Alligator mississippiensis: one gene and its partners. The protein of the gene in region 1 interacts with the protein of each later gene in a biochemical or structural test. Links are inferred from orthologs where the notes say so. Each region holds a gene or a part of one and is shown in the gene's direction. Other genes may lie near its edges.

Evidence for each region.
Region 2: the proteins of AKT1 (region 1) and HSPB1 form a complex in vitro, tested with the Homo sapiens proteins (3 studies listed by BioGRID, with this or other methods). The link is inferred for Alligator mississippiensis from reciprocal best matches to the Homo sapiens genes AKT1 and HSPB1.
Region 3: of the proteins of AKT1 (region 1) and SMARCC1, one has a biochemical effect on the other in vitro, tested with the Homo sapiens proteins (2 studies listed by BioGRID, with this or other methods). The link is inferred for Alligator mississippiensis from reciprocal best matches to the Homo sapiens genes AKT1 and SMARCC1.
Region 4: the proteins of AKT1 (region 1) and NF2 form a complex in vitro, tested with the Homo sapiens proteins (2 studies listed by BioGRID, with this or other methods). The link is inferred for Alligator mississippiensis from reciprocal best matches to the Homo sapiens genes AKT1 and NF2.

The regions. Positions count from the first base shown.
Region 1 is NC_081825.1:289,116,304-289,124,248, reverse strand, and holds the start of AKT1 (RAC-alpha serine/threonine-protein kinase), read left to right. Parts: upstream 1-4,931; 5' UTR 4,932-5,102; intron 5,103-7,945. UniProt on the Homo sapiens protein: AKT1 is one of 3 closely related serine/threonine-protein kinases (AKT1, AKT2 and AKT3) called the AKT kinase, and which regulate many processes including metabolism, proliferation, cell survival, growth and angiogenesis.
Region 2 is NC_081837.1:16,992,347-17,000,301, reverse strand, and holds the start of HSPB1 (heat shock protein beta-1), read left to right. Parts: upstream 1-4,943; 5' UTR 4,944-4,956; coding exon 4,957-5,356; intron 5,357-7,955. UniProt on the Homo sapiens protein: Small heat shock protein which functions as a molecular chaperone probably maintaining denatured proteins in a folding-competent state. Plays a role in stress resistance and actin organization.
Region 3 is NC_081828.1:217,674,079-217,680,942, reverse strand, and holds the start of SMARCC1 (SWI/SNF complex subunit SMARCC1), read left to right. Parts: upstream 1-3,847; 5' UTR 3,848-3,862; coding exon 3,863-4,096; intron 4,097-6,864. UniProt on the Homo sapiens protein: Involved in transcriptional activation and repression of select genes by chromatin remodeling (alteration of DNA-nucleosome topology).
Region 4 is NC_081833.1:26,673,858-26,681,648, forward strand, and holds the start of NF2 (merlin), read left to right. Parts: upstream 1-4,784; 5' UTR 4,785-4,948; coding exon 4,949-5,062; intron 5,063-6,380; exon of another isoform or gene 6,381-6,467; intron 6,468-7,791. UniProt on the Homo sapiens protein: Probable regulator of the Hippo/SWH (Sav/Wts/Hpo) signaling pathway, a signaling pathway that plays a pivotal role in tumor suppression by restricting proliferation and promoting apoptosis.

The DNA.
Region 1 (7,945 bases):
GATATGGCATTACTAACAGAGGAAAAAAATCAGCTATTTAAAATAGACTGTAATACATTAAAATTAAAGATTGCTTTTTCTTTATATTTGTACAGTCCCAAACGTTGCCCTGGTGTTGATTGGGAATGTTGGGTGCTGTTATATTACTACTAATGCTACAAATGATCGGGATAGGGGAGAGAAGTGGTATGTTTGCTGTTTTATCTAACCAATTCAGTTACTGTTTGTTCACAGAATTCCCCACTGCACGTTTGTTTCCAAATGTCATAGACACCAACTTCTCAGTTGAGGAGGAGCAGAGGGTTTTCCCATTGGAATTTGTCAATACCACTCATGAATCTGCCAGAGAAGCTACCACCGATCACTTACGAATCCTGCCTTTCTCCTCCCCTTTCTCCAGCAAAAGCAAGCTGACTGCCTTCTCGCTGCTGCCAGGCTGTCGTCTTGGGGGACCAGGAAATAGAGACTAAAAGCAAACCTCAGTCTCCTATTTGGCTATGCTGAGTGCTTCTATGAGCCATTGGGAAATGCTTCCAACAAAATATGTTTGTAAACATGAAGTAGTTCAGATCTACCTTTAATTTAAAACATTAGTTTAAAGAGCACTGTTTGCATCAAATTCACTCTAGAGATTTAATTGTTTGCACTATACATTTTCAACAACTAGATTAAACTTTCCCCTTTGTCAGTTATTGTTTTGCTACTCCAGAAATATCCATTTCCTTTTAAACACTGGACTTCTTCATATGTAGAAGGATGCCTGCCCCTTTTTCAGCTTTTGTAGGTTAAAGTTATGTGCTTTTAATTTTGTTTTCATATCAATCTGGATTTCTATGTTAGTCTAAATCTGATTCATCTTTATTTAAAGGGTGGAACTATTTAAGCTGAAATTCTGCCTCTGCTAAAGTTAATAGTAAAAGTCAAGGGAATTTCACCTCTCATCTCTTCCCTTGTGTTGCTTGAGTTTCGTGTAAAATATCTTTTAAAGAGAGAGGAACAGAGTCGCCACAGGCACATAAAAGATACACTGCTCTAGACAGCAGTGGAATAGCCCCTGTTATTTTAGGGGTCAATGTAGCTCTTCTTCACTTTTTTGCTGACAGACTTTTCTTCTCTTAAATATTGTCTCCAATAGTTTTTGAGAAAGTTTTAAAGAAACCATTTAAAAATTATCATCAAATTATATCATATCTCTATATATTTTCAACAATGAATGAGGCTAGACAGGTCAATCTCACAATGCTGTATTGATTTATAAGCCAGAAATCCATCCCTTCTTTGCTATTAACCCACATATTAAGTAGTTGTATTGTAATATAATGCTAGGGAATAGTTCGCACACCTTGTTTCTTACTAGTTCCTAAATCAGAATAAACAGATGCGAAATGTGAGGAAGTGTTTAGGGAAATCTAGGGACTTCCCTGAAAATTAGGGTTTATAGACTGTAATGCCATTGTCAATAATTGAATTATAAAACCCATGATGTTTGCATTTATAACAATACCCTCGTGATTTAATTGTTCTAAATGAAAAATGCCATGTTTTTCTTCATGCCTCAATACAAATCTCTTCTGTTATTGCAAAGCAGTCACTTCCTATTCTACCCAGTTATTTTTAATCTGCAGTCATAGAGCTGAGCCAGAGCTGCAACCCCTGATCTGAACGCTCCCAAGTTCTTTGGGGGAAGTTTAGGTCCAGAACTGTGTAGCTTGGGTCCACATCCACTATCCTTTGAAATCAGCAACTGGTAAATCTAAATTGCCTGTTGTTTTTTAAAAAAATTGTGTTTCTTTGTTAACAACCAAAATGAGATTTCCAGAGGAAACTTTACAGATTCTTTTTCGCCAGGTGATCTGGGATCAGACCAGTTAGAACAAGATTTAGCACAAAAAAAGGCAGGAAACAGGCTTTGATTCTGCAACCGCATCTGTTAGCAGATATAGTTTTGCATTATTAAGAACTCAAAAGGAGTCACCAAGGCTTTTGCATTGGCTGAGGTACGTGTGAGTGCAGGCCCTAAAATAAAGATCAAACTATTAGGTTAATATTCTTCTGGATGTATCTGTTAACTTCTGTTAATATACTGCAGACTCTATACTTTGATATTTAGTTTCTTTCTAGTCCAGTCAGGGGAAGGTAAGTCAAACAGTTATCTTTGATACTTAAAACATTTTAATCTACAGCTAAATATTCATGTGTGTGATGCTTAGTGACAAACTTGAATGTATTTGCATGCCTGAGAAAAAAGAAATACTAATAAAAATAATGGTAATAGCAATAATAATAATTTTCATTATCACTAGAATTTGCCACTTGCTTGTCTCTTCCAATGTATTTGTATTTGCCTAGAGATGGCAACACTGTTAATATCTATTCCAGTGCCTACTGAAAGTGGAAATGTTTCCATTGACATCTGTGGTATTGGATCTGGCATTAACTGAGATGACATGGCATGTGTCACAGTTTAGCTTATAAAATAAATTGCTTATCTCCCTATTGAAGTAGATATTAAAATGTATGCTAACGTAGTGTCATCCTTGTATAGAAGGACTGCTGACGACAATGGTGACAACATGACCATCCAGCTGAAATCAGTCATATACAATCTCATAGATGGATTGCTGTTTCACCTGGAGGAAATAATTATAGAGATACCTTGACTGCAGCTGGCCATTTTTATCGAAAAGGGGAAATAAACACTCCCTTTTCCTTTTAAAAGAGTGAATGAATGCCCCACTCCCAACTCTTTTCTGTTAGGGATTCTTTTGATGCCTCAAGCTACATAAAATCCAATGATCTTTTATAAATTTAGATACACTGTGATGGGTATAGTGTAACTACATAAACTCACCCATAAGATTAAAATGTGAGGACCAACTCAGCTCTGAAAAAGTGAACTGAATTATTTGCTGACTTCTGTATCATCAATATATTCGCTAACTAGGTTTCAGTTACAGAAACTTTGTTACTAGTAACTGTATGGTTCTGAATTAGATGTGACTCCCATAATCCAGAGTTTCCAGCACAGACAGTTAAAACATAAACATCTTAGCAAATGGGGTAAATTTGACATGGGAAACCTGGAAGAGCAATAAATGTATTGGTGGCATTTTAATTTTTCCAGAACAGACCTGCACATAAAAACTCACAAAAAATGGTGTACTGTAGACTCCAAACACTACAGGTCAGCAATTGTAGACTCTCATGCTTCAGGTCACTGTTATATTTAGGAGCAGTCTTATCTGGTTCCTTGTCCAGATTTCAGTATTCCCTTGCTCTGACCATTTCATTGCTACAAGCTCTCTATACAGTTGTGACAAGTATCTTCCTGGGCCTTGTCTTACCCACTCTTAAAAGGGATATTAAAATACTCTTACTGGTCCTGCCATGCCCAAGGTAGTAATCAATATTTATAAGATGTGGTGAGAATTGTACATGAAAGGTGCTGTACGCATGCAAAGCATGACTGTGTCGCAAACGTTTGCTAAAGGATGGCAATAGCAAGCCTTATAACACTGACTCTCAATCAGAGCATTATAGTACCTTGGGGCGCTGTGAGATTCTTTTAAGGGTGATGTGGTGTAATATTAGCACTGTTAAGCGTGCAAACGCCTACACTTGATTCACAAGTTAAGCCTAGAGGCCAAGTCCAGACATGCAGGGGCATGCACTTGCAGTGGCATAAATTGCCATAATGTACACCCCTGCATGTGCGCTTTGTTGTGGGATAAGTTGTCCTGCAATGAGCAGACTACCCTTGCCCAGCTCCCCCTGGCTCTTCAGTACCAGTAGGGCCAGCACTAGTCTTACCTGGTGGCCTGGAGCAGCAGGGGTACAGGTTGGGCAGTACCGAGGCCTAGGCGGTAGTCAGAGTATTGCTCTAGGTGGCCTGGCCTCTGTGCGTGCTTGTCGTATGTGTGTTGCACTGCTTTTTGTTCCATTTGGGGTTTTTCTGCTACCGGGAAATCCCAGCAGTAAATGTTGACCCTGCACTGCAGCACAGGGCACTTTTTAACGTTTGCCTCATCCAGTTTGTGGCACCGCAGCCCGCATGTCCCTGCATGTCTGGACCCGGTCAGAGATTTCAAATAGGAATCTAGAGCGTTAAAACCGCGCTGACCTGCGGAGGCTTTTCCGAGGTCTTCGCAAGAGAAAAAATGCTCTGTTATTATTCCCGTAGTCATAAAATGAGCGCAAGGTCATTTTCCGAGTGGGGCCTTGAATCGAACAAAGGGCTGAGAACCACTGCTGATAACTTTACGGTGCAGCCCGGCGCGCTCAAGCCCCAGCCTGAGGGCCAAATCCACGGGTCCAAATATTGGGCAGTAGGGAAGCAGCGGCCGGTCATTGCTGCTCTCTTAATGACAAATTTCCAAACCAGTGGGGAGCCCCCGGGCTACTTGGACCGTGCAGGGCCGGCTGGGGTGGCGCAAGGCCGATGCGGCGCACGGAGGTGGCGTGGGCCCGACCTCGGCGTGTGTCCCACACCGCTCCTCGAGCCCCACGACCGGCGCCGACCTCACGGCCTGGTCTAGTCGCGCGCAAACACCTGCCCACGCGGCGGGGCTGGCTTCCTCGCGCCCCACCGAGCAGGGGGGCCACCGTGGTCAAACGAAAGCCGGACACACGCAATACATGTAAGGGGGCAGAGGCCTAGTGTGAAACCCTGGGGATGAAACACTGCTCCCCCCACCCCTCCAGGCTCCAGGAGCAGGCTTTGCAGCCTCCCTGCGGCAGGGCCCGGGGTGGCTCCGGGCTGCTTCGCCTCCTCCAGACCCGCAGGCTGCCCCCGCGCAGGGTGGGCGAGCGGGCGGGCGGACAGGCGGGCGGCGGTAGGACCCGGCGGCAGCGCTGGGAGCAGACGGGCTGCGCGAGGGGGCGCCGAGCCCGGCCCGGCCCGGGAGGGAAGGCGGGCGGGCGGGCGGGCGGGCGAAGGGAGGCGGGGAAGGAGCCGCCGGGCAGCGGCAGCAGCAGCAGCGCCCGCCCGGGCCCCATGGGCTGAGCCCCAGCGCCAGCCGCCGCCGCCGCCCGGGGATGGTTTGCGGCCGGAGCAGGAGGCTGCAGCCGCCCAGCTAGGCCCGCGCCGAGGAGCCGCTGCCCGGGTGAGTGCCGGGGCCTGTGCGGGGCCGCCCGCCCGCCTGGGCCCTGCCCTGCCCTGTCCTGCCCTCCCGCGGGAGCCCGGCTCGCCCTCCCCTGCGGCCCGGGCCGGGCTCTGAGGGGCGGGAGGCGCCTCCCGGCCTCCCCCAGCTCCCAGGGCAGGCGGCCTCGCCCCCTCCAGAGACCCCCTGCCTCGCCCCCACGTGGAGCCGGTGCCACTTGGTGGCCTGTTGCGGCTGCCCCCGGCCCCCCAGGGCGCCAGGCGTCCTTTCCGAATTTGCTCTGGTTTCCCCAGGGGCTCGGGGAGGGGGCGAGCTGTCGGCCCCCGCGGGCGGGCGGGCGGGCGGGGGGTTTCGAGATTTCTGTGCCACTAACTTGTGCTTTTCTTCGAGTAGGTTGGGCGCGCGGCTGTTGTGCCCAAATGCCCGCGCGCGTGTGGGCAGCAGCAGTCGCGACGCGCCAGGTTGGAGCGTGTTTGGGAAGCTCGCTGTCCCTCCCCCCCTCCCCCCCTCCCGGGCCTCTGGCTTTTACTGCGAATTTAAATAATTTAGGGCTTGCTTGAGCCTCACGAGAGACGGAGCAAAACTTTGGTAGGGGTATCACGGGGCAGCGCGCACCTGCCAGCTGGCGGGGTTCGAGTAACGGCGCCCTGTGGCCCCCCCATTTTTTCTCCCTTGAGTGTAAAGAGGCGTATTTCTTGTCAGAGAGGTATAAGCAAAGAGCGTCCTGTCTATCCTGATGAATTTCAGAGAGAATCGAGCAATTCTCTCCCTTTCCCGCAGTTTCCGAATGCTTCCTCCAGGGTTGGTCCCCGCTGTGTTGCAAGGTAGAGAGCTGAACTTGTAACCCTGGTCCCACACCTGAACACAATTAACATCCTATCTGTTTTTCACTATGCATTGGAGAGCACTAGGAGTTGCTAATTGCAATGTGGAAGCCTAGGTTAAGTTTGCAGTGTGGAAGAAAAAAAAAAAAAAGAGACAGTTTATATTGCTGTCAACTTCCCTTTGTAATATCAGGACAAGCTTCCCAAACCTTGTGATCAGCCACATGTATAGTAATGACAGTCTGGGTTTTATGTGGTGGTGTTCAAAGCGGAGCATCTTCTGCACTAGCAAGAAGCATCACTAACCACACAAAACTGGTGGGCCACTGTTACATTTTTAAAACCTGAAGTAAGATTTTGAAACAGACTGGTGGTCCATTTTAGGCTTTCTTGAAAGTGAGCTCCTGCAGCTTGAGGGCTTTGGGTCAAATCTGACCTGCCCCCCCCCCCCCAACCTGTTAAGAGAACAGGGGCTTTGAGTGCATTGGTATCACTGGTTCTGTACAGGAGTGGTGGCTGATTTTGTGTCAAGCATGTAGGAGATGTGTTTCATGTCATAGTTTCACAGATGCTCCAACACACAAAGCCGGGCAGGGGCAGAAGGGATAAAGCTCACGTTGTCTGCGTCTACCCTGCCACACACTGCCTCACATGAGGGTGGGGTGATACCCGTTAGATCTGCACCGTCCATTAGGCTATAGTTTCAACTCAAGAGTTGTGGAGAAATAATGGTGTTTCCCCTCCTGCTTTGCTTTTCTATGAGCACAACCTGGCTGTGCAGAATATGTATAGAGACTAAGAGAAAAGTAAGATCTCAGCCTAAGGAAGAAAGGAAGATCAGGTGCATCTTTTAGTTTTGTACCATCTTGGAAGGCAAAAGGGAGGGGTGCATTAGAAAGATACAAAGATGTTAAAAAAAGAGCACCCAGCCCTAAAAGGCTGTCCCAAATACAGCTTCACTCCGCCTTCTGTTGGCAGATTCATTTGCATGGCTTCTTTAAGACGGGTTTTATTGTGCTAGTACATAAGGAAGGGATGCATGTTTAAAATTAATAGTTTATTGAATTTTCACCATTTTTATGCATGTTCTTACTAGCTGTCCCCCATATTAATAGAATAACATATGCAGGGGTACAAGATTAATATGCCATCCATTATTTATTGTACTTACAGCGTTTCTGACTGGTGAGTGTAGGTGATGATATAGTATAGAATAAGGTGGTATAGAAACAAATTTATAAAATTAATAAAAAAGAAAGGGCTAATTGTTTATCTCCAGTTCTTGACAACACTGTCATATGCATTCTCTCACAGGTTAGATAAGTCAGACTGTAGTCATCTCAGATGCCCTGCGTCACTGGGAACCATTCCTAGATTTGCATAGATGAGGGTAACAGTCATCCATTTTTGTTCAGCTTGTGCAAAAGGGAACCTTCTCTCATTTTGGCCATAACTAATAATAAACATTAATTTACTTCTAGGGTGGGCTGCCGCTGCAGCCTGGGACTGCGCTGGGCTCTTCCCAGCGGGGTGTTGAGTGGGACTGCACTCGAGGCAGGCAGCAGCTCTGGGAGGGGAGGTTGGGGACTATGGTGAATTTTGGGGTGACTGCAGCCCCCCCCACAATTCCCCTTTCCAGCATCTCTTCTACCTGCCCAGAGCACAGCCCGGTGCAGCCCCGGCCCCAGCCCGCAGTAGCAGCCTGCCCCACGCAGATCCGGGGGGCACACCCCTCCATGCCCTCCTGGGGTGTGTGCAGTGGCAGGAGCTGCCCCTCCCCCTCCCTGTGCCCCCTGGACAAGCCTGGCTCTGTCCCACACCCTGCTCCACCCTTGCTGGGCAGCGCCTGCCCCAGCCCCACTCCTTCCCTCACTGCAGAAGCCTTGATCTGCCCCCCCTTTCCTGACACCCTTTCCCTTCCCTCTTTCCTTCCACCACGACAGACTTACCAGTCAGACACCGCTCTTCAAGCTGCATATCGGAAATCGGATCGGTATCAGCTAATACGCCTCCTTAAAAATC
Region 2 (7,955 bases), on another chromosome or scaffold:
GATTGAGGCAAAAGGCAATATTAGCTTCCCCCCCCGCAGCCCCGCCTCCAGCCCTGGCAGTGCCCAGTCAGCAACAAGGGACCTAGCCGTGCCCTCGCTGTCACCTTGCAGGGCTGCCGGACATCCCAGACAGGCTCTGGCCTTGCCCTCATGCCCCCACTACCGCAGCCCAGAGCTAGCTGTGAGCAGACAGCTGCCCGCATGCCGCGGTTGCTAATGAGTCTGTAACTACGGCTGCAGGTGGCTGGGCTCAGACTGGCCCATGCAGGGGCAGCCACTGTGTGGGCAGGAGGATGCTAGCTCCACGCACTGATGCTGTGTGGGCAGCCTCTGCTCTTGCAGGGTGAGGATGGTGGGGGAGCTGCGAAGCCAGAGAACTGTTCCCCTCCATCGCTCTGCTGGCCCGCCTCAGCCACCCCCCGAAGGGGTCAGCTCACGGGACCCACAGCCCCCTTGGTGGGCTTCTCCAGGCTCTGCCCCCAGCCAGTGCAGCAGTCTGCATCTGGGGTGCCCAGCCAGAATGGCCCCTTGCCTTGGCCTAAAAATTGTGGGGAATCAGGCCCCTACACACACTGCAGGAGCCTGTCTGGCAGCAGCAGGGTTGGGGAGGGCCCTGCCTGTCCACACCCATAGGCTTCATGCCCCAGTCTGCACCTGGGACTGGACATGCCCCCCAGACTGACTGTAAGCTGGCACCAAAGGGGCTGCTCCAAAGGAGGCCTCCGCAGATGCCAGGGAGGACATGGCAGCTGACTACAGAGCAGACCATGGGGGCACTCAGCCTCTCCCCTGTAGCCTGGGGACCATTAATGTCCCCACCCTGCCCATAGACTGGAAGGTAGCAAGTCTAATGCAGCTGTGGCTCAACACACCCTGCAGAGCCCGGCTGAAGGGCTCCTCAGAGACCTAAGACAAAGCGCAAGGTGGCTGCCCCAGCCCATCATGAAAGAGTCTGTCGGGGTGCCCATAAAGAGGCCACAGGTGCCCACTGCAAGCACAGCTGGGCTGGCAGGCCAGCTCAAACCTGTGCTGCTGGCTCAGGTGACTAGGAAGCTTTCAGGGCTGAATCTGTGGGAAGCAGAGGGAAGGAGGGGCTGGGGCAGTATGGGCAGGGAGGGCACAGAGCTGCAGTTGGAAGGAGGAAGGAGTGGCTGGAAACTGCACAGGGGCCTGGGGTTATAAATCATCCTGCCTTCACTGCGCTGAGCACTAGCTCCCAGGATGTCAAGCAGCTGCAGGGCAGCAGATGGGCTCTGACTTTGAACGAGTGTCTCCCATGTGAGAAAGGGCATCAGCTCCAGGACACAAAGATGGGTGAAGGCAAGTAACTGTGCACTGGACAGTCACTGCCAGATGGGGCACTGGATAGCAGGGGCACCTCAGCCTGTGGAGCCTAAACCAACAAACTGGGGAAGAAGGGGACCAGCTGGCACATCATGCCGTTGATGGAAAAGGCCGTGTGCAGCTCACATGGGCACAGCTCCACACTGGCAGAAAAGCACTGGCAAGGTGGGGAATAGGGCTGGCAGCCCATCGTGGGGTATAACAAGCCCTGGGCCCTGACAGCCCCCCTGAAGGCTGACTCCACCCTTCCCTGTGCACTTTAGCTCCAGGAAAGGGTCCTGTAACCCCATCTTGCTCCAGTACCTACATGGTGCTTCACTGTTGTTCCTGGCTTTCAGGAGGTCGAACGTCATCCAGCCACCCACGGCCCAAGCTGCCCTGGCCTTATCTACCCACTTCCCCCCCCTCCTCTGCTGCCACTTATCCACCAGCCGGTCCAACCCCCCAGCCCAGCCACGTGCGCATGACTCACCCACCCTTCCCTCAGCCACCCACTGAACCCTCGTGCTCACCCTCCTCCCCTTCGCTCTGCACTGCCTGACCTCAGCCCGCTTGCTAGGTTATGAGCACCTGCAGTTTCTGACGTCACCATCTGCAAACCCAGCGACCCCTACCCTGGCACACGCTGTCAGCAAGGCAGCTGCCAAAGAGAGGTTTTTTCCAGCCTGAACGAAAACAGCCACCACCGCTCAAATGCAACCCGACCAATTGCAACACGATAGGGGGGAGCGCAGCAAGGACACTTGCGGGCAGGCCTGCTGCTTTGTACCTCAACAAAGCTCTTCTCTCACCATGGGTGCCTGGTGCCACCTTAGTCAGGGGGGCACATGCCCCCCCTTTGACCAGTCCAGCCAACCGGGGCTGGAGCCACTTCTGGGAGCAGCTGCAGCAATCAGCCGGTGCCTGCAGGGGGGCACCAGTGCTCCCACCTGCTCCCTGCCCATTGCCTAAGCAACGAGCGTGGCTGGGCAGGGGGGTGCACCGGTGCTCTCAGGGGTGCATGTCCACCCCCTATGCATTGCCACTGTCTCTCACCATGACACACAAACACACACGTGTCACTTGTTCCCCTTGATCCCTCTGCAGATTGTATATAAAATGTGAAAACACAGACTCTGCTCAAGCCAGATAAAGGTCAAGCAGCCCCTGGAGAGTCCTGCTCATTTAAGCATTGGCCAACAAGCTGTGCCTTTGCATTGCATGTATGCTGCAGCAGTTTTGAGGCACCAGCTGAGACCAGTGGCCTGTTGCCCTTGAGGAGCTGGCACAGCAAGATAAAGTAACTTGGCCAAAGTCAGCTGTGGCAGAGCCTGGAGACTCCCAAGCCTGTGCCTTCACCATCAGGCATAGTCTAGCCTGCCATGCTAGAGGTGCTGGGAGAAGCTCATCCCGGAGAAAGAGAGCTACCGACCTTGCCTAGTGTTCCTCAAGGGTAAACATGAGCCTCGTCCAAGCTGCCTCTGGGGTCTGGGCAGACAGCTGTAAGAGTGTCCTCAAGGCCAAAGCCTTTCATGTCTCTGTGGTCCAGACATGGTAAGTGTATCTGAGCAGCGGCCCTGTGAGCTCTCCTAATGAACATAGATAGGGAAAGTTGGAAGGGGGTTCAGAGAAGAATTAGGAAAAGGGCCAAGAGGCCGGAGGGACTGCGGCCTGCTTGCCAAGGGCTAACCGAGAACAGCTAAAGGAGAACAGACCATCTGCTGGGAAGGGTCATTCTGGAAGATGTAGAGACCCAGGAGAGAGGAGCTGTTTATAACACAGAGTAACGGCGTTGGCATGTAACTAATAGGGGACTGAGACTGAAAGGCAGGGAAAGCTTCCCTCGGCTGGGATGGCTTGGACTGCAGCGGGTACAGAAGATGGTATGTGCACATGTGAACGATGTGCACATGAGGGGTGGTTGCAGGGGCTTCCCTGATCACTCATTCATAGGGCCACCACGTACCTCAACTCATCCGGCCAGGAAAACCCTCCAGGCACCACCTCCGAGAGGGGTCGGCCGCCCGGCAGTGGGTAGGAAACGGTGGGAACCCGCTGCTTAGCCCGGTGTGAAATGCAGGTCATTTGAACACGTCTGTGACAGACAGCCCTTCCCATTCAGTTCCTGAGCGAACTGAGAGGATGTGATAGGACAGCCAGCCAGGCTGGCAAGCGAAGCTTATCTCCGTCCACCTTGCCAAGATTTTCGAGCCTGCAGGCTGGGAGACGAGCAGCGCCGCAGCCCGGTGTGACTCAGGACCTAGAAGATTCCAGGCAGGGACACGCGGCCAAATCCTGCGCTGGCCTCAGCTGGCACGGCTCCATCCGCTCCGATGGGACGGCATCAGCTTACACCACCGGAGAGTTTGGCCAAGCATGCTGTAAGACATGCTGAGAGAACAGTTAAGAAGTGGGGATTTGGGACAACATGAGCTGGGCCACGTGACACCGGAGGATTCTGGGAGAGAAAATCGCTCCTCTCATTAGACTGATGGGCAAGGGTGGCTTATGGGCTCACGGCACTGGCCCAGCTATTACTGAAGCCAGCTGGAGCCTTACACTTCTTATCAGTTGGAGCAAAGTTAGGACAACAGTGAATGCTTTTAAAAATACCTTTCTCTATTTTAAAAGGCTTTATTTTGTGGGAATCTTTGAAGGTGATCTGAAATGAAAAAAAGAGGTCTGTGCCCTTCTTTGTGTCTGCAGGATGCACAGAGAAAGCTCAGACTCATTTGATCTTTTTCCATTTGTCTTCTCGAGCCTGTTTCTCTTGGAACGCGCAAGAAATGCCTGGAAACATGGCTGGCTTCTGGCATTAGAAATATCGTCAAAGTAACATGCCCGCGGCTCAGTGCAGGGGCACTTGGTGAAATGGAGTGGTCGATATTCGACAAAGGGTCAGACTAGGCAACTAGATAGTTGCTTCTAGTTTTAAAACTCAGAATCTGTGAATTTGAATTAAGAGGGTTAGGAAGGGTTTTTACTGCTCTGAGAGTCTAAAATTAGGGGGCTTTGCTTTTGTTAAGCCCCTTATTTAACTCAGACCCCTGAGAAACACAGGGGAGAAAAGATTTCTTTGTTAAAAATGTAACATTCTTCCCTGAAGGAAGGGCTGAGAAAGCTCATGGCACACATCCAATTCCTCCTGCTGCCAAATCAGACTCGGTGTCCCTGAGATTTGAGAGGAACAAAGAGCTGAAGGCGGAGAGACATCCATCCTGGCTTGCTCTGTCAACAGTGAAGCAGCAAATTCTCTGCCAAGACCAACGGGGGTGCCAGCGTCCCTTCCAGAAGGAATCGCCCCACCCTGCTCCTGACCCATCTTGCATTGTGCGGTGTGATCAATGCTGCTCTCAGGCTGGGGAGCTGTCCGTCTCTCCCCACCCTCTCCTTTGGACAGAGGGCAGCTGTAAGATGACAAACAGACTGGGAGTAAGTTGGCAGAGTCCAGGCCTGACTGATGTTCATCAGCAGTTACACGGTCCTGGTGTAATTTCCATTAATAGTGAGCTGAAATTCTTGGCTAAAAATAACTGGCTGCCTCTTCATAAGGGGCTGGCGGGAGGCAGCTGCTCCGTACAGACAGAGCTCGCTTTGCCGGGCTGCTGAGGTGGGACCTGCAGGAAGCCCAACATGTCGGAGCGCCGAGTGCCCTTCACCTTCCTTCGCGGCCCCAGCTGGGACCCCTTCCGGGACTGGTACCAGGGCAGCCGCCTCTTTGACCAGTCCTTCGGGATGCCTCACATCCCCGAGGACTGGTACAAGTGGCCCAGTGGCACCAGCTGGCCAGGCTACTTCCGCTTCATGCCCAGCCAAGCTGCTGCACCCATGGTCGCCGCTGCTGCCAGCCCCATCATCACCTCGCCCACTGCCACCAGCATTGACTACAGTCAGGCCCTGAGCCGCCAGCTCAGCCGTGGCATCTCGGAGATCCGGCAGACCTCAGAGAGCTGGAAGGTCACCCTAGATGTCAACCATTTTGCCCCAGAGGAGCTGGTGGTGAAGACCAAGGATGGCATTGTAGAGATCACTGGTGAGTGCTGCCTTTAGCTTCTCCTGTCTTGGGCTGGAGCACAATTGGCCTCCCATGGGAGCCTTTCTATGAACCCATTCCTCACCTTATGCCTGCTGCATGTGTAACTCAGTGGCCAGCATGAGCTACCTGTCCCCTCCCAGGCCAGATCTGTGAGGCTGTTGCAGCTCCCACCTAGCAGTGCCAGCCCTTTGGCTTGCACAGTCATAATGATCTTGTCAGCTCTAGAGACCCCCAGATCCTATCCCCAGATCTGATCACCGGCCCCAAACCTCTAGATTTCTCCCAGTTGCAGGGCAGGGGGTGCATGTTGGCAGTGCTGGCTGTCTTGTGTCATTGCAATGCTAGACCTAGAGGGAAGCTGGGGTGGCCTCACTCCAGTGCCTGCCCCTCTGCAAAGCTGGCAGCTGAGGCCTCCATTTCCCCTGGCTCCTTTCTCAGCCAGACCCCTGCCTCCTCTTCCCTTCTCCTCCTGACCTCGCTGCCTTGCTGAACTAGATAACAGCCCAGGGTGAGTTGCTCCCTCTGCTTTCAGCATGGGGGAGTTGTTGGCTCAGGTCCCTCCTTGGTGTAACTCCTGAGGGGGTTTAGTCCAAAGATGGTAGAGAAGGAAGAGCCCCACCTGCCTCAGCTCTACAAAGTCCCTGGACCTGGGAATGGAGGAAGGAGTTGATGTGGGGATCAGATCAATTATTCAATCCATTTCATTATTTTTAAAGTAGCCCTAGCAGCTTAAACCCATGGTGCAGGGCACGATACACTCGCACAGGTGAACAGCAGCTCCTGCCCCCAGAGAGCCCCCAAAGGGCAGGGGAGGGAGACTGAGGCCCAGAGCTGGACAGGGACTTGCCTAAGGTGACACAGTAGGTCAGTGGCAGAGCTAGGACTAAGACAGAAGCCATTCTCCCTGCCACAGCCACCTGCCTGCACTGTCTCCCAAGGCCCTGGAAGTCTTACCCACAACCCAGGGCTTATCCCAGGTGATGAGCAATCCAGCACCAACGGGCCTGCTGGGCAGAGCTGCCCCAGATGCAGCAGTTGTCACTTCGGGGGAATCATGTGAACACAAATCACATTCCTTCCACCCTTTCTCCCTCACCCGATCCATATCAGCGCAAGAGCTGACCAGCACATTCACAGTCCTGGATCTCATCAGAGAAATGTGGGTGAAGGAGGGAATGGTAATGAAATACCTCCCCCACCCGCAGTCCTCAACCAGTCCTACTCAGTCTCCCTTCCTCAAAGTCTAATGGAAAACTCAGTGTACAATCATCAGACTCGATGATCTGTTGAGGGTCCTTCCGACCCCAGCATCTATGAATCGATGAATCACCTGAACCCCCAACACATTCAACCAGGTTTCAACCCAACCCAAAGAAACCAACAAAGCTTTGACCTATAGCTTGGCCTGATTGCCTATGAATCGTCCCCTCCCCTACTTTGTTCAGGGACTCTTTCAAACCACAGTCTTTTTGAGCCAGATCCCCAACCAGGGTAGACAGGCAGAGCAACATCGATTTCAATAGTGCTATATCCATTTACAACCAGTGAAAAGCTGACTCTGCATTCAGGGTTTACTGGGAAGCCCAGAGGCAGGTGAGTGGCTGCACATATATATATATATATATATATTTTTGTAAAGCAGTTGCCCTGTTTTCTCATTAAATGCTCCCCTGGTGACCAGGAATGTATCTGTGGATAACAAGGAGCTGGCTGGCAGTGAGCCCATTAATTCCCTTCTGAGGGCTCCTTTTCCTTTAAAGCAATATAAGAGCACTGATCTGTCAGAGTAACCGTGAGAGCCGTCCCCTGAGTACATGCTGCACCTGAGCTGCAGCCATCAGGAGCTCTGATTAGACAGAAGATCATCAAACGTGACAGCCAGCAGTGTCATCTTTGAATTCCTGATTCAGAAGAGTGACTGCTATGAATTTTAAGCCCCTGAATTGACACAATCCGGGCCCTTCTAGACTCCATCCCACAATATGCCAGACCTAGGCAGCCACTGGAAAATCCTGCAATGGGCTCCTTTGTGATGAAACCAGTGAATGGTTGGTAGCGGGTTGCTGGAAGTTGATAGATAATGGATGACTGAAAAGAATAGCTCCGAGTCAAGTCAAACCAGGCGCCACACACAGGGGCGAATTAATGCAAGAGCCCATGGGGCCTGGGCACCAGGGGCAGCACAGCCCAGGCAGGCATCCTGGCAGCAGGCATCCGGGGCAGGCAGCGCGATGCTCCTGCCCTCAGCCAGGCCATACAGGTGCAGGTGGTGGCAGCTTACCGGGGCTGTCTGTTGCCAGGAGGCCCCACGGGCAGCCCCACTCCCATTTCTGCTCTCTGCCGTCTGCGGACAGCCACCAGCACCAGCACCAGTACCGCTGAAACAGGATGGGACAGGACATCGGGGCTGGCAGAGAGGTGGGCGGTCAGCCAAGGGCAGCACAGAGCCCATGCCCCCGCTCCCCCCAAGTCAGCTTCAGCCCAGGCCTGTCCCACAACGCTGGAGGACCACAGCCCCGGCAGTGTAACACCTGCCAGGTGGAGGGGCTGGCCCGGGTTGGAACTGGGGCCGCCTTCACCACAGTGGCACTTGCCC
Region 3 (6,864 bases), on another chromosome or scaffold:
GCAACTGCTGAGAGCAATGTGTTTTTGCCCAAGGGACTTGGTGCATGGCTGGTACACGCAGGAGGTTGCTCTTGACCTTTGGGACTGCAGTGAGGCATAGAGAAGGTGCTACCTTAGGGGTATAGGTCTCAGGATGTTTAGGGCATTATAAGTGAATTCCAACACTTCCCTTGAATTGCGTGCAAAAAGCTCCTGGGAGCTAGTGCAGACCCTGGAGCACTGGAGTTATGTGCTTCTGATGACCCTTCTCAAGGGCAGCCCTGCGTAGAGCACATTGTGGTGGTCTAGCCTTGAGCTGCAAAGGCCTGGATGGTGGTGGCCAGATCAGACTCTGAAAGAAAGGGCTGCAGCTGTTCCTAGTGACCCCCACCACCTGAAGATCCAGGTGCAGCACAAGATCCGGGAGCACCTCAAGGCTGCAAACTTGAGTGACAAGGGGAGGCTGAACCCCATCCATGGCAGGTACCCCAGTACCCCTAGGTCACATGGCCTGCTCACCAGCATCCCGTGTCTTGTCTGGATTCAGTTTCACAATCCTTTTGCTGTTAGCAAATACCCGTGTCATTTATTAGCGCTGTGTGGCCTGACCCCCCAGATGCAGCTGAGAACTACATGTACGTGTGTGGCTCCATGTACTAGCACTATCTAGCTTGTAGAGCCATGTCACCTGGATGCAGGACTCCCCATGCCACGGGTCTGGAAATTTGGCAGCGGGGGACTGCTCCCCCATCACCAAATCTCTGGATCTGTGGGAAGACTCTTGGGCTCGATGACATGGCCTTGCAGGCAAGATCTGGCCAATGGGCTGGAAGCTGAACACCCCTGGAAGGGGCTGATCACTCTAAAATCTCAGGTCCTGGGTGTGTCTGCTTAGGCATCCAAGAGAGGTTGAAAGTTTTGATCTTCAGGTCTGCACCTCAGCTCCTCAACAAGACAGAGGGGATGATGCTGTTCCCTCCCCTTGCAGAAGTGTTGGGAGAATTCAAACCATGGACCTTTGCCTGTACTTGCCCTCCAATGAAAGCCCAAGAGCAGATCAGCTTCTTTCTCTGGAGTGCTCACTATGGTGTGTAACTAAGGCATGGGGCTCACGCCCCAAGCAACAAGGAGAGAACAAAATATGGCAGAGCTGCACATGCAGCAAGCACCGTCCGGGCTGTGCACCGTGAAAAGAACAGCGTGTCATCATACAGCCTTGCAGGGACACAGCGTTAAAGCTCCATTGTTTAATTCTGTCATCTCCTGACCTTAGCTGTGACGGCAAGCTTTTGATGTATTTTTTGTATTTCATGTGCAAAAACTGAGGAGAAGACAAACTGTAAACCCACAGGCAAGAGCCTCTGGGTGGAATCCAAATTCATGTAGCACTCGCCTTGGAGAGCTCCGAGACAGAGGAGGGAGTAACCTTGATCTTAAGAACTGGCTCAGACCACAACACCTGCTGATGGGCCTTTCCTCCAGGAACTGGTCCAATCCTACTATGAAACGGCTGGCAGCTTAAACATGGAAGGATGGGAGAGAGATTCCCAGCAGGGATCCGGTCCAGAGACAAAGATGCAACCAGGTGTCTTCATTCTGCAGGGTGGCCGGCCAAGGGCAGGATGAAGGCTGGGAGCTGGGGTGACCGAGCAAAGAGCAGGAAGTTTGGAGGTGGCTGGAAACGGCCCTTAGGGGTATTTTGCTCAGAGAGGGGGGTCCTGGGGCAGCTGGGAGGGACTGCACCAGTGCTCCTCAACTTTCTTAGACTGGAAATCCTCTGGGTAGACTCAGGGAACTGCTTGGAAAGTGCCAGCTCTGACTTTTAGGGATGTATTTGGTAGTCGTGTTGATCTGGGACAAAGAAATGCAAAAATCTAGAGCTCTTGGTTCAGAGATGATGCCTTTTATTTGGCTACTGAAGAGTAATAGAGCAATTCTTCTGTTGCAAAGAACTCAGCAAGACCACAACCATGGGTTTCTGTTTGCAATCTCTGGGATTCTCTTGTGAACCACATTTGCACACCTCAGCAGTATCTTATGCTGTGTATACCCCTGAAAGGATCCTGTTGCACCCCCATAGCACCCTGGTGGTGAATTGCTAGGCTGAACGTTGCCTGCAGTATCCTCATCCTCGTGACACCGAGCTCATGACTCAGGTGCCCTTGGGGCCAAATGCAGGGGATGCTTGAAGAGACTGTGGCTTTTGGATCCCCCTGCCCATCACAGCAGATGCACACGCGAGACCACGCTGCCCGCCGACCCCGTAGCCAGCACAGCCCAGGCACCTCCGTTCGCATCCAGCCCTGGCTGACTCGTGCTTGGAGGGGCGGCAGCTGGAGCAGGCCAGGGGTGGATCCAGGGGTGGGTGCACTGGTGCACTTGCACCCCGCTCGGAGTCCTGCTCCTCCCAAAGTTGAAAACCAGCTGCCTGGCAGCGTGACAGCAGTATGGCCAGTCAGGCAGTGCCGAAGGAGTCAGTTGACTGTGACTCGTTGTGATCTACCTGATCCCTTCTAAACTCCTCTTTCCACAGGTGTTAATGACCCTCCCTTCCTTGTAATGGTCTTCACCTGCCGCCAGGCAAGCTACTCTCTGCTCTGCCTCCTGGTGGGACGCTCCCATTTCACAGCCCTGCAGACTGACTGACTGGCTACAACTCAGTGCAATGAAGCGAGAGCTGGTTTTGCTTCAATCCCATACTGGTTCACCCAGCCCCTCCCCGCCTATCAGGAAAGCTTCTAGTTTCTTTTTAACTGCAAAAAATAGGTGCTTTGCATATGTGCCGATGCCTTCTCCCCAGCCTAGACCCCCACGGAGCAGGCCCTGCCCCAATAAAATGGGCAAGAGCCGCCCCTAACCCGCATCACAGCAAACACACGTGTTCCCCAACCCTGGCTCCCACGCATGCGCAACTATGAGTTCACCCACGTGCTCCCCTACCGCGGCTTCCACGCACGCGCACCGACATGCAACCCTAACCCGGCTTCTGCGCATGCGCAGCTATGGCTAACCGCGCTTATTCAGCCTACCCAGGAATTCACGCATGCGCACCCATATGCTCCCCTACGCCGCTTTCCACGCATACGCAGCTATGACTGAGCCTCGCGCCCACATGGTCCCACTACCCGGCTTCCACGCATGCGCAGTTGTGACAAGGCTTCGCGCCGACACTCTCAACTTACTAAGGCTGCTACGCATGTCCTAGCTACCGGGCTTCAACGCATGCGCAGCTATGGCTAAGCTTTGCGCCCACATACTCAAGCCACCCAGGCGCCCACACTTCCCCTCCCTCATCGACGCACGCACAGCTATAACTAGCCTTCGGGCCCATTCAACCACCCCGCTTCCACGCACGCTCGCCCACATGATCCCCTACCCGGCATCCACGCATGCGCAGCTATAGCTAAGCTTCGCGCCTACTCAGCTATCCACGCATGCGCACCTACTCTCCCCTCACCCCAGTTTCCACGCATGCGTAGCTATAGCTAAGCTTCGCGCCCACATAGTCAACACTACCCAGGACTCCACGCATGCCCACTTACACGCTCCCCCTACCCGTTCCCACGCATGCGCAACTATGCTTCGCGCCCATATGCTCAGCACCCCCCACTTCCGCGACTAGACTTCGCGCCTACACTCCCCATGCGCAGAGCCAATAATAATAATAATAATAATAAAAAAATAGTAAAATAAACCCGTCAAGGGAAAAAAAAAAAAAAAGCGGGTCGGCTCTGCCGCCAGGCATGCGCAGAAGCGTCGGGCGCCGTGCGCCTGCGCGGCGGTGACGCAGGCAGGCACCGGCGCGGCGGCTGCGGCGGCGGCAGCGGGCGCGGGTGGCCGAGCATGCCCAGAGGGGCGGGGCGTGGCGTGCGCGGCTCCACGCATGCGCGGCGTGAGGCGAGTGGGCGGCGCAGGCCCGCGCGGGCGGCGCTCGGCCGGGGCAGCAATGGCGGCGGTGGCGGCGGGCGCCGGGGCGGCGGCAGCGGCGCCGGGCTGGGCGGCCCTGGCCGTGGCGCGGCGCAAGGACGGCGGCCCCACGGGCAAGTTCTGGGAGAGCCCCGACACCGTGTCGCAGCTGGACTCGGCGCGCGTCTGGCTCGGCAAGCACTACAAGAAGGTGCGGGCTGAGGGGCGCGCGGGGTCGGCCTGAGGACAGCTGCAAGCCCTCCCGTGATGTGGGGGGTCGCTGCGTGCTCGTCGCGGGATTAGGGTGACAATAGCGAGGAAGACGGGGGTGGGAGCGAGGCCGAGGAGCCGGTGGTGAAACGGCCCAGAGATGCGAGCACACGAGGGACAGGAAAACGCAGCCTCCTTCCTGGGTGAGGTCCCGCGGTGCCCTGTCCCTTGGACCCCTCGAGTCGTGCAGCGGCGATGGGGCCGGGCTTGCCCCCGGCCCGCGCGTGCCGCGGGGACGTGTCCGAGGGCGAGTGGATGCCGTGTGACTTGCTCTGCTCAGTGTTTCCCCTGACTTTTGTCTCTTAGTTGTGCCAAGCAATCGGCGACGTGCCCTCGGGGGGCCCCCTCGCCAGGCAGGGCTCATAGCTGGACGTGGTGGACTTTGGCCCACGTTCCAGACTGGGATATCGAAGGCCGGTGTCGCGCCACGGCGGAGCGGATGCGGGCAGGGAGAGTGACCGGGGGTTGTTTCCGCTGTTGCTCTCCCGCTCGCGGCCTCCAGCACTTACAGGCGTAGGATGTTCGATTCGGAGGCCGTGCCCCTCGCTCCGCCGCTCAATAGCGACGGGTGTCCCTTTCCTCCGAGAACGTGTCCAGTCCCTTTCTGTATCTGGCTAAGCGGTCAGTTTCCGCCACAGCTGGTGGCAGGGAGTTTCACAGCCTCTGGTTGCTGTTCTTCCCACATCTTTTCTTTTATGTGCTCCTTCCTTGTGTCCCTCACCAAGTCCTGGGAGTTTTTGGTTGATCTGGGTCCCGCCATGTGCTAGACAGGGAGGAGGCTGTGGCCAGGGGAGCCTGGGTGAGCGTGGGGCTGTCTTCCTTTTACTCCTCCGCTCACGTCTCTGGGCAGTTTCGCTGGTCAAAGTCCGCAGGCTCATTCAGGGGCAGTGGTGTGCTCTGCTTGGTGTCCCTTTCTGCCTCTCTTGTGATTAACCTGCAACTTCGCTGCCTTTCCTGTTTCCTTACGATTTGTCCGAAGAAACCCTCTGATGTCTTTAGTGGTCTCCGTTGTTATAATATAGTTTCCTTGGTGGGCTGTGGGCTGCAATCCCCCCTGGCACATCAGAGAGGCCTGTCTCCAACAATGGGAGAAATGGATGCCAGAGGGAAAGCGTTGAACCAGATATCTCTAGAGTGACGTATCCCCTATTCACTACCCTCCCTGGATCCACTGTTATCGGGTTGGAGATGCTGGGGGAAATATCGTCAACCCTTCGGTTCAGCAACTATTAATAGATCTGTCTTCCATGAGTTTGCCTAGTCCCTTTTTTGAACCTGGCTGTGTTGTCCGCTTCTACCACCTGCTGTGGCAATGAATTCCATGCGTTAACTACATGTCCCATCAGGTTTTCCATCATCCCTTGCCTCAAGTTGCACGTGGAGTTTCGAAATATTTCTTGACACTTGGTGAGTTAGTCTCTAGGTACATCTCTATCTTGTCTTCTGCCTGATGTCTCACTAATTACCACCTGGAGGCTCAGGTACGCTTGAGAGGAGCATCATCTGGAGTAGGAGGAGAGGTGTGTTTTCCCTCCTAGCCACCCCAGCCCCTCAAGCTAATGCCTTTAAAGGGATGAGTTTTTTTTTTCTTTCCCAATTAAGAGCATTTGTGCCTGCCCCCTTGCTGTCAAGCTTTTCCCAAGCTTCACTGACTAATGCAGCTCTTGCTAATTCACTGCCACCCACAGGATGCTGGATTGCAGCTGTGGAAACCAGCAGCGCTCCTCGGTTCTCATTCTCCTCGCAGGGGAGGCCCTCCATCCATTGTTCTGCAGGCTGAAGGCAGCAGTGCTTGGTTATACTCTGTTCCCGCTGGGAAGATTGATAATGAACATGCTTCATGTTTTTCTTTCCTCCTATGTCTTAATAGGATTTATTTGGAGAAGATCTTGGTTTGGGCAAGTGAATTTTGAAAGCCCTATATAGTGGAAAGGATAATAATGTAGGATTTGGGAGAAGTCCTAAAAATCTGCATCTCTTTTCGCCAGAAAAGGAATGAATGTATGCATTGACTTCAAAATTCTTGTTTCCTCATTTTAGGTGGAAAAGTTTCCTTCCTTAAATAAACTTGACAAAAAAAGTTACTAAAGGTAGTTATTTACAACAAGTTAGTCTAACACTTCAACCTTAGTCTTACTGTTAGTGGCAGAATGTTTCACTATCTTCAGGGGACACAACAAAGATACCGTAGGCTTCTCAATGGAATAGCTCACGTCTGCTTGCCAAGTGTGGCCTGTGGAGATACCAAATTACGAACAAAATGTTAGGAGCAAAAACAACCCTGTTTTATTCATGATCTGCGTGTAAACATCTTTTTGATGTGTCTTAGATTTCTGCCGTGCATTTGAGACTAGTAAAGAATCCTCCATTTTTAATTGCAAGGGAGCATGACTCTGTTTCACGTGTATGGGGGGCTGTCTGTGTGTGTCGGAGGTCTAGTCCTATTGCTGTCTGCCCATTCTAGTTGAGGTTCTAAATCTTTATGCGATCTGTACTGAGATGCTGTATCCAACATGCCTTTTTTTTGGAAAAGATGTGTGATAAAATACCATGTTACTTAGAAACTGGCATTCAAATGAGATTAAATATGGAGTAATTAGATTCTCCTTTATTTTGTGGTCATATCCTCAGGGCTCTATTTGAGTAAATTGTTGCAGTTTTGTTTACATAACTAATTTTTTTCTGTTAAAGTGCCTCTAGTCACTTATG
Region 4 (7,791 bases), on another chromosome or scaffold:
CTGGTCCTTCCTTCACTCTCAGATTTGGGCCCTGGGGTGCGGGGCAGCCCCTTGTGATTGAGCTGGGCAGGAGACAGGCAGTTACCACCTCCCTTTTATAGATCTCTTATATCATCAAAGTCGTGGCAGGAGGGAAAAGAAGTGTCATCTGATCTCATCCAGCTCAGCCATAGGAGCACAGCCACCCTGAGGGGCCAGTGAATGTCAGCGGGATGTTGGGGCGTATGCCCTTACACGATGACTGCCCAACAGTCACCTGCCCTGGAAATCTTCAAAAGGAGACTGGACAGTCACCTTGCTGGGGTCACTTGACCCTAGCTGTCTTTTCTTGCTTAGTGTGGGGGAACTGGACCTGATAATTTATAAGGTCCCTTCCTGCCCCTAGCAATCTATTAGTCTATTAGGATAAATGTGTTAAGGATTATGAAGTGCTTTTATATTATAGTAATGGAGGCCAGGTCAATGCCTAAATTAGATAGACATGCTATTCACATGGGTGAAGTTCCACAGTAGCTTAAATGTTTGTAGGATTGGGTGCTTGAGGGGGCCAGAATATTGCATGTCTTTATCCAGGTGAACAGTCCTCCTGAAGTTAACAGGACTATGCATGTGCTTCCAGTTAAGCATGTTCCCAAGTGTTTGCACTTTGATCATACCTCTTAGGGCCCTTTGATTGTAAATTCTCTGGAGCAGGGTCAGCGGGTGACATCCTGGTTGCAAAGCTCTCATCTGTTTTAATGGTGCCAGGATTCCACCCTAGACTTCTATTTATGGCACAGTGTTGAGCAGACGATCCCTGCTTGACAGTTAACCAGCTAATAAGAATTATATCCAGAAAGTGAATGTGACTGGCTTATTTAATCATCCAAGTTGAAAGAAGCATGCAAAATTGAAAGCATAAATTAACCTAAAAAACCCCTCCCAATTGAATAATCTAAGGTCTGTTTGTAAAATCAAGGCTCTTTTTGGTGGTGAGTGGCTAGGGAAAGGGGAGGCTTTCATATTAACAGTACTCTTTCAGTAAAAACTCACCTTTTCCATTATTTCTTTCCTAATATCACTCACTCACTGGAGAATTAGAAAGGCTTCTTGTAAAGCCCTTTGAAAATAGAATCACATATACTCTCTGTTGGGTGACCTGGTATTCTTGTGATCGCTGCTATTGGTTTTCTTTAGTGCCCCCATCCTACAAAGGAGAGCTGTGTATGTGAACCCCTATGACTGCGGCAATCCCCATCATTATTGCCGGTGGTCTGTACTGGAGCTGGGCCTCCTTGGATAGTTTTCTTGGTGGAATAAGGCCTTAAGAGTGTAAGGGCACATTTTAAAAGTATTTAGGTGGTTAATTTCCATGATTTCAATAGGAGTTGGGGCCTAAATACCTTTTAAGAAGCTGTTCTTAAGGACTGTGGTAGAGGGAGGGTCATTTACTAGGAGTCTGTACAATGCCTAGCATGCAGGAGGTCAGATTTGCTTGGGTTCTTTAGCTGCTACCACAACATAAATACAAAACATTAAAATCTTGCTAGCAATAAATGAATGACCTTCCAAAATGGCTAGTACCTCTTTAGTTGTTTTTCTTTTTGATGAACAAAGAAAGCCAGAAAAATATTTTCTATTTATTTTTTAGAGAGCTAAAGGACAATTTTGCTCTTCTGCTGGTTTTTACTTTATAAATTCAGATCCTTTCTAGCCTTTACTTTCCCTAGAGCAGGGCTGTCCAAATGGCATCCTGCAGACCACATCCAGCCCAAAAAGGGTTACTCAGTGGCCCTTGCGTTTCCACCTATCTGCTACTGCTTCCATTACTCTGGCTGCGGTGGTTGTGGCTGGGGGGTTTCTGGAGCAGGGCAGCATGAAGGGAGACACAGTCTATTCAGTTTGCTGCCTGTGCAACAGCATCAGAAGTTGGGGCTTGGGCAGGGGGGGCATGGCAGGGGTATCACCAGTGCAGTGGTGGCTGTGGCAGTGGGAAGCCCTTGGTACTTATGTGGCCATGGGGTTACATGCGGTGGGGGTCCCAGAGAGCCCATGCAGCCTGGGGCCCATGACCTGAACAGCCCCCAGTTACTCTGAAGTTGAACAGCTCTGCCCTAGAGGACTCTATGGATATGTGGAAAACTGTTAGAATCATGGAATCACAAGCAGCTGGGAAGAAAAACCTCCATTTCTCTGAGTTAAGAAACTATTTTAATTTATGGTATTTAGAACGCAAATGTTTGATAAAAGCAGTTGAGAGAAAAGCTCTTGTTAAATAACAACTCCCACCCTAAGAACTGGGTAAAGAGGGGAGATCTTTTTGGGAGCTAAGTTAGGGAAGAAAAGACTCTATATACTCTTGTTATTTCTAAGGCATAAAAGTAAGAGGAAAATAAAGCTGAAAAGCTTTTATCTATCATAAAGAAGCAAGTAACGGCACAAACCCATTTCTTTTTTCTTTCTCCTAGTAGGTCACCTTTAAATTAATTCTGTTTGGCACTGAGGGGTTATGCTTTACAATAATACTTAATATACTGTGTTCTGTGTGCTTCCTAGTACACAACCTCATGTAGGTTTTAAAGCAAAAGTACTTGGCAGGAAACCAGGATGAAGCATTGCTGCTTGCACTCTTCATTAAAGAGTTCCTCCCTGAGCCCACAAGTCACCTGTAACCATGGCCCCCATTAAGTGACACAGGAACAGCTCAATCTGTTACCATAGGCATGGTTTCAAAATTACAAATGGAAGCTCAAGCCTCATTCTGCACGTTCTGCACTCAGAGGACCAGCAAGGAAAGGTGAGTCATAAAAGCTTTTCATGGCTTTGACTTTCCTTGAGTTTCTAAATTAGTCTGTCTGACAATTCAGAGGATGTGGAACAAGTTAGAGGCCTAAAGAAGCAGATGCATTTGGAGCTTTATGGTTGCTGGGTTTTAATAGAGTTTTCTGTCACAGGCAATAGACTCGGTAGCCTTAGGCCAGCCAGTGATGTGATGGAATTTCCTTGCACTCAGAAGAATGCACCCAGTGATCTTAGTTTCATATCCTGCCTATTCCTACACTACCCCCATGTACTGAGATTTAATCAAACCGCCTGTATCATGGGGAGATTCATTCAACTGTTAGCTCTTGGGGGCAAAGAGTATCTTTTTGTTCAGAATCTGCAGAGTGCTTAGCACTGTGGGGTCCTGGATCAGAACAAACTCCAAGGGTTACAATTCAAGTAATAAATGAGTTGGAACTTCCAGCTGCTAGGGCAGATCTGGTATTTGTAGGGCTTGTACCTAGTGGAATAGAGGACACTTACAGTTACATTAGCTTATTTAGTTGACTTATAACAACTATATACATGCATAAGAGACTGACTTAGTCTACCTGGCTCATTAGCTGTGTCTCCATTTGCCTCCTGTTCCTCCATACAACAGGCTCTGATAACTTTGATTCCCACTTCAAAGTTACTATTTGTCATTAGCAAATAGTACTGGGCTGAGACTGATTATTGATGTTTATAGATGGGTCCTGGTGGGGAAAAAAAAGGTTGAGAACCACTGCCCTAAGTGACCAAGCCAAGGTAGGCCTGACACTCAACTCTAAGGCATTTCATAGGATCACAGCAAATTAAGGCTGTAAAGGACCTTGTAAGATCATCTAGTCCAGCCCCCTGCTCAAGGCAGGATCATCCCTGTGCGTCTAACCTGCTTTTGAAAGTTTCCAAGGATCAAGTCCACAATGTCTCTAGGTAGTCTGTTCCAATGCCCGACCGCTCTTCAACCTAAATTTCCCCTGCTGCAGTTTGAGACCACCGCTAGTCCTATCCCCTATGACCACAGGCCTATCTCCATCTTCTCTACAATCACCCTGCAAGTAACTGAAGATGGTTATCAAAGCACCCCTTGGTATCCTCTTCTCCAAGCTAAATAACTCTAGCTCTTCCAGCCTTTACTTTCAGGTCCCTGATCATTTCTGCTGCCCTGTGCTGAACTCCTTCCAACCTGTCCACATCCTGCATGGAGTGTGGGGCCCAAACCTGGACAGGGCACTCCAGGTGAGGCCTCGCCAGGGCTGAATACAGCGGAAGAATCACTTCCCTTGATTTGCAAGGGATGCTCCTGTTAATATAGCCCAGGATGCTGCTGCCTTTGTTTTGTTTGGGGGTTTTTTGGCAACAGGGGCAAGCTGTTGGCTCCTATTCAGTGTAGGGTCCACTGCAACGGCCAGGTCTTTCTCTGCAGCTGGGACAGTCATCCCCAGCCTGGATCTGCTCTGCTGCCTGCCTGCGCCAGGACAATGGGACCTCGCCCGTTGCCTTTCAGCGCTGTGGACGACAGCCCACTCCAGGGTCGCCCCCTTGCTAGGCTAGGCCAGGCCGAGCGGGGCCCCCGGGCAGACCAGGTCCTTTCCCTCTTCCCGGGGCGGTGCACAAACAAGCCCTCCGGCGGGTCCAGTGCTCCTGCACAGCGCCAGCCTCCACCCGGGGCCCCACGGCGCTCCCACAGGCCGCGAGGCGGGAGTCCCCGCCAGGGGGAGCCGGAGCGCGGGCCGCCCTCGCCCAATCAGGGACCGGTGTTGCTCGGCGGCCTCTCAACCGCCCTTGCTGAGGAGGCGGGGCCGGAGTGCAGGAGTGGCAGCCGGGCTCGGCTACTCGGAGCGCGCCCAGCGCCGGGGGGTTAGGGGGGTGGGAGCGTACTGAATTTGCGATTAGCTGAGCGCATCTCCAGGAGGCGGGCGAAAGGGGCGCCCCGCCCTCCCGAGCCGCTGGGCCAATGGCGGGGAGTAGTGGAGTTAAGTTGCACCAGCAGCGGCGACGGGAGGTTGGCGGGGCAGGGAGCGGCGGTCCCAGCCCGCCCTGGCCCGGTGTTGCCCCTCCCCCCCCTTTCCACCATGTCGCCCTCGCGGCCCGGCCCCCTGAGGCCCCGCGCCCGGGGCTGATCCGCCCCGCCCTCCCCGAGCCGGGTGCGGCGGAGCCCGCCATGGCCGGGGCCATCGCGTCCCGCATGAGCTTCAGCTCGCTGAAGAGGAAACAGCCCAAGACCTTCACGGTGCGCATCGTCACCATGGACGCCGAGATGGAGTTCAGCTGCGAGGTAGTGGGCCCGTCCTGTCCCGCCCGGCCAGGGGTGCGCGGGGTGGGCCGCCTCGGAGGGGAGTGCCCCTGGCCCCGGCCCGGCCCTTCCCGCTCTGCCCTTGCTGCGGGCACGCAGGCGAGCGGGGCAGGCGGAGCTGTCCCGGCGCCTCTGGCTGGGGGCGGCCTCCTGCCCACTTGAGGGCTCTCCCTGCAGCCTGCGCCCACTTGACCTGTGCCCCGGGCAGGGCGCCTGCACTGAAGCGCCCTCAGAGCCTGCGCGGTCGCTCCCCGGTTGAGAAGCACTGCTCCAGCGCACGCTTGGCCGAGGTGGTTTGGGTAATGATGATCCCGCCTCAAGCAGGGGGTTGGGCTAGGTGAGTTCACCAGGTCCCTCCCAGCCCTGCGGGCCTATGAGTTCGGAGCTGCTGGGTCCAGAGCTGTTCCTAGTGGCCATGGGCATCCCCGGACCGGTGCGCTGCATCGGTTTTGAGCAGCGAGCGTAATTGTTCCATCCTTGTCTACAAGCGGTGCGTTCGTTTGAATGCGCTCAAATGTGCTCCCAATCCACTGTCTCCAGACCAAGTGCGTGAGAGGTCAGGAAGTAAATACTTAAATGGTGGTGGGTGTTACCTAACCCTGGAAGATGTTAGGCAGGCCCTTGCAGAGCCCCTTGCAGTATCTTGCCCCTAGAGCATGTGTTTGGAGGTTTGCAGGCTGGCATGTTGTATACAGCATGTGCTGGCCACAGACCCTCATGGTGCATGTGGAGCCCATCGGGCATGGCCTGCACACAGTGCTAGGGCTGGAGCCAGCATGTGTGCTACACACAGTGGGTGGGACCAGTCTGGGGCATGTGCTGTGTGCACCACGTGTGCTGGGCTGGCCATGCACACTGGATCCAGGGCTGGTCTGGATTGAGCCACAGACCAGCTGTAGCATGCAGGTCTGGGCTGGCATAAGTGCCACATACATCATGTGCCCTGGACTGGTCCTGTGCTCCACATGCTTTGTGGGGTTGGTCTGGGGCACGTACTGCACAAGATTGCCCTTGAGTGCTGGATCTCAGGCTGGTCTGGTTTGGGCCTGTAGACCAGCCCCACACGCCAGATTTGGTACAGGGCTCTTCCCTGTTATGATGGTGGGGATTCAAGTCAGGTCATTAGTTGCTATTCCTGAATGCCATGATGTAACTTGGGTGATCTTCTTTTGTATGACATTTCAGGATTACAATGTTCATGGATTAATATCTAAATTTGATAACCATTAGACTGCTTTAGGGGTAGCTGCATGGATTGATTTTTTTTTTTATTTTTTTTTTAGATTGCCATTAAATATTTAATTTGACAGTCGTTTACAATGTGTTACACCATCTGAAAAATCGCACCACAATTGCAACCCAGATTCTTTGATTCTCTATTTATGGGGTAGGTGTCCACATTTTCCATTAAGTGTCTGGATGTGATTCAGGGAGGACCAAATCTTTCTCGATAGGTCAAATCCTGGCTGGAGAATTGCAGGGTCACTGACTACGTATTTTTGCGGCAGGTTGGTATTCTCCCAGGTGTCCCTTCACTGTTCTTTGGTGCTCGTTATCACCATAGAGCTTCTTGGTGTCTTTCCAGAAGCTTTTTCTCGGTGGTGGTATAGTTGTCTCTGTGAGGGAGGTTCCTAGAAGCAATTCTTCAGTGACTCCCTTAGCTAGAGTAAAGGATTGTCTCTTCTGCAATATTGCTGCACATTCATAGATTTTCAGGGTTGGGACCTCAGCCTCAGGCAGAGAAATTATGTGTCAAAAATAATTGCTGAAAATATTGTGAAAGGATTGAACATCAGCTCTGGGTCACCAGTAATGCAGGTACTCTACTCTCTCCTAGCCCCTAAAGGTGATCTTCTTGCAAACCTACTGTGCATAGTAAGTAAATGGAAAGCTGTGAACAAATCTGAGTAATATTAATGTTTACAATGCTGAGCAGCAGACTCTTGGAATGACTGTGCTTGGGGGTATGAAAGGACCAACTTTTAGGCTAAGTACAGATAGTCAAGAGCCTGAGGCCGAATCCATTCAATCTTTGCAGGTTAGCCAAAGTTGTGTAGATTAAATCAATAAGCAACTGAATGGGTATTCATTTTGATTTTGAAAATGCAGCCGCATGCCTGCAGTAGCCTAGGCCAGAAGCCAAGGGGTGCTAGAGCACACCTCCCTGGTCAGCAGGAACATATAGCTTGGGCCAAGGCAGGCCTGCCCTCCCTATGGGGGGCAGAGGGTTTGTGGAGGAGGTGCAAAGCATCCTGGGGTGCTGGGGAACTGAGAGTTAACTTGAATCTGGAGGGGATCTGGACAGATGTTCAATAAACTGATTTAATCTAAATCAGTTAACTGATATTACATCCATCCAGGTTTATCTTAAGCTGGTTTCAGCCATTTTGAAACTGGTTTATGTGCACTGAAGTTGTGTTTATGCTACAGATTTGAGAGAGTTTCTGATTGCTTATACTGGTTTCTGTGTAATTTCTGTCCCTGGTCTTAATGAGGGTCTAGCATCCGTGTGCATTTGGCCATTCTGCCCCTGTATCAGTTGAAACATCCCAACACATTAGCTGGCCCCTGGAAAGCTTTATTTGATGTGTAATGCAAATGATTAACTGCCAGATTGTAGATGGCAAATCCTGGAGTTGTAGGATCAAACTAAGGAGCCAGCATGGTAAAAATAGCAATTTGTCCAACATTTGCTGGGGTTAGTTTGTATT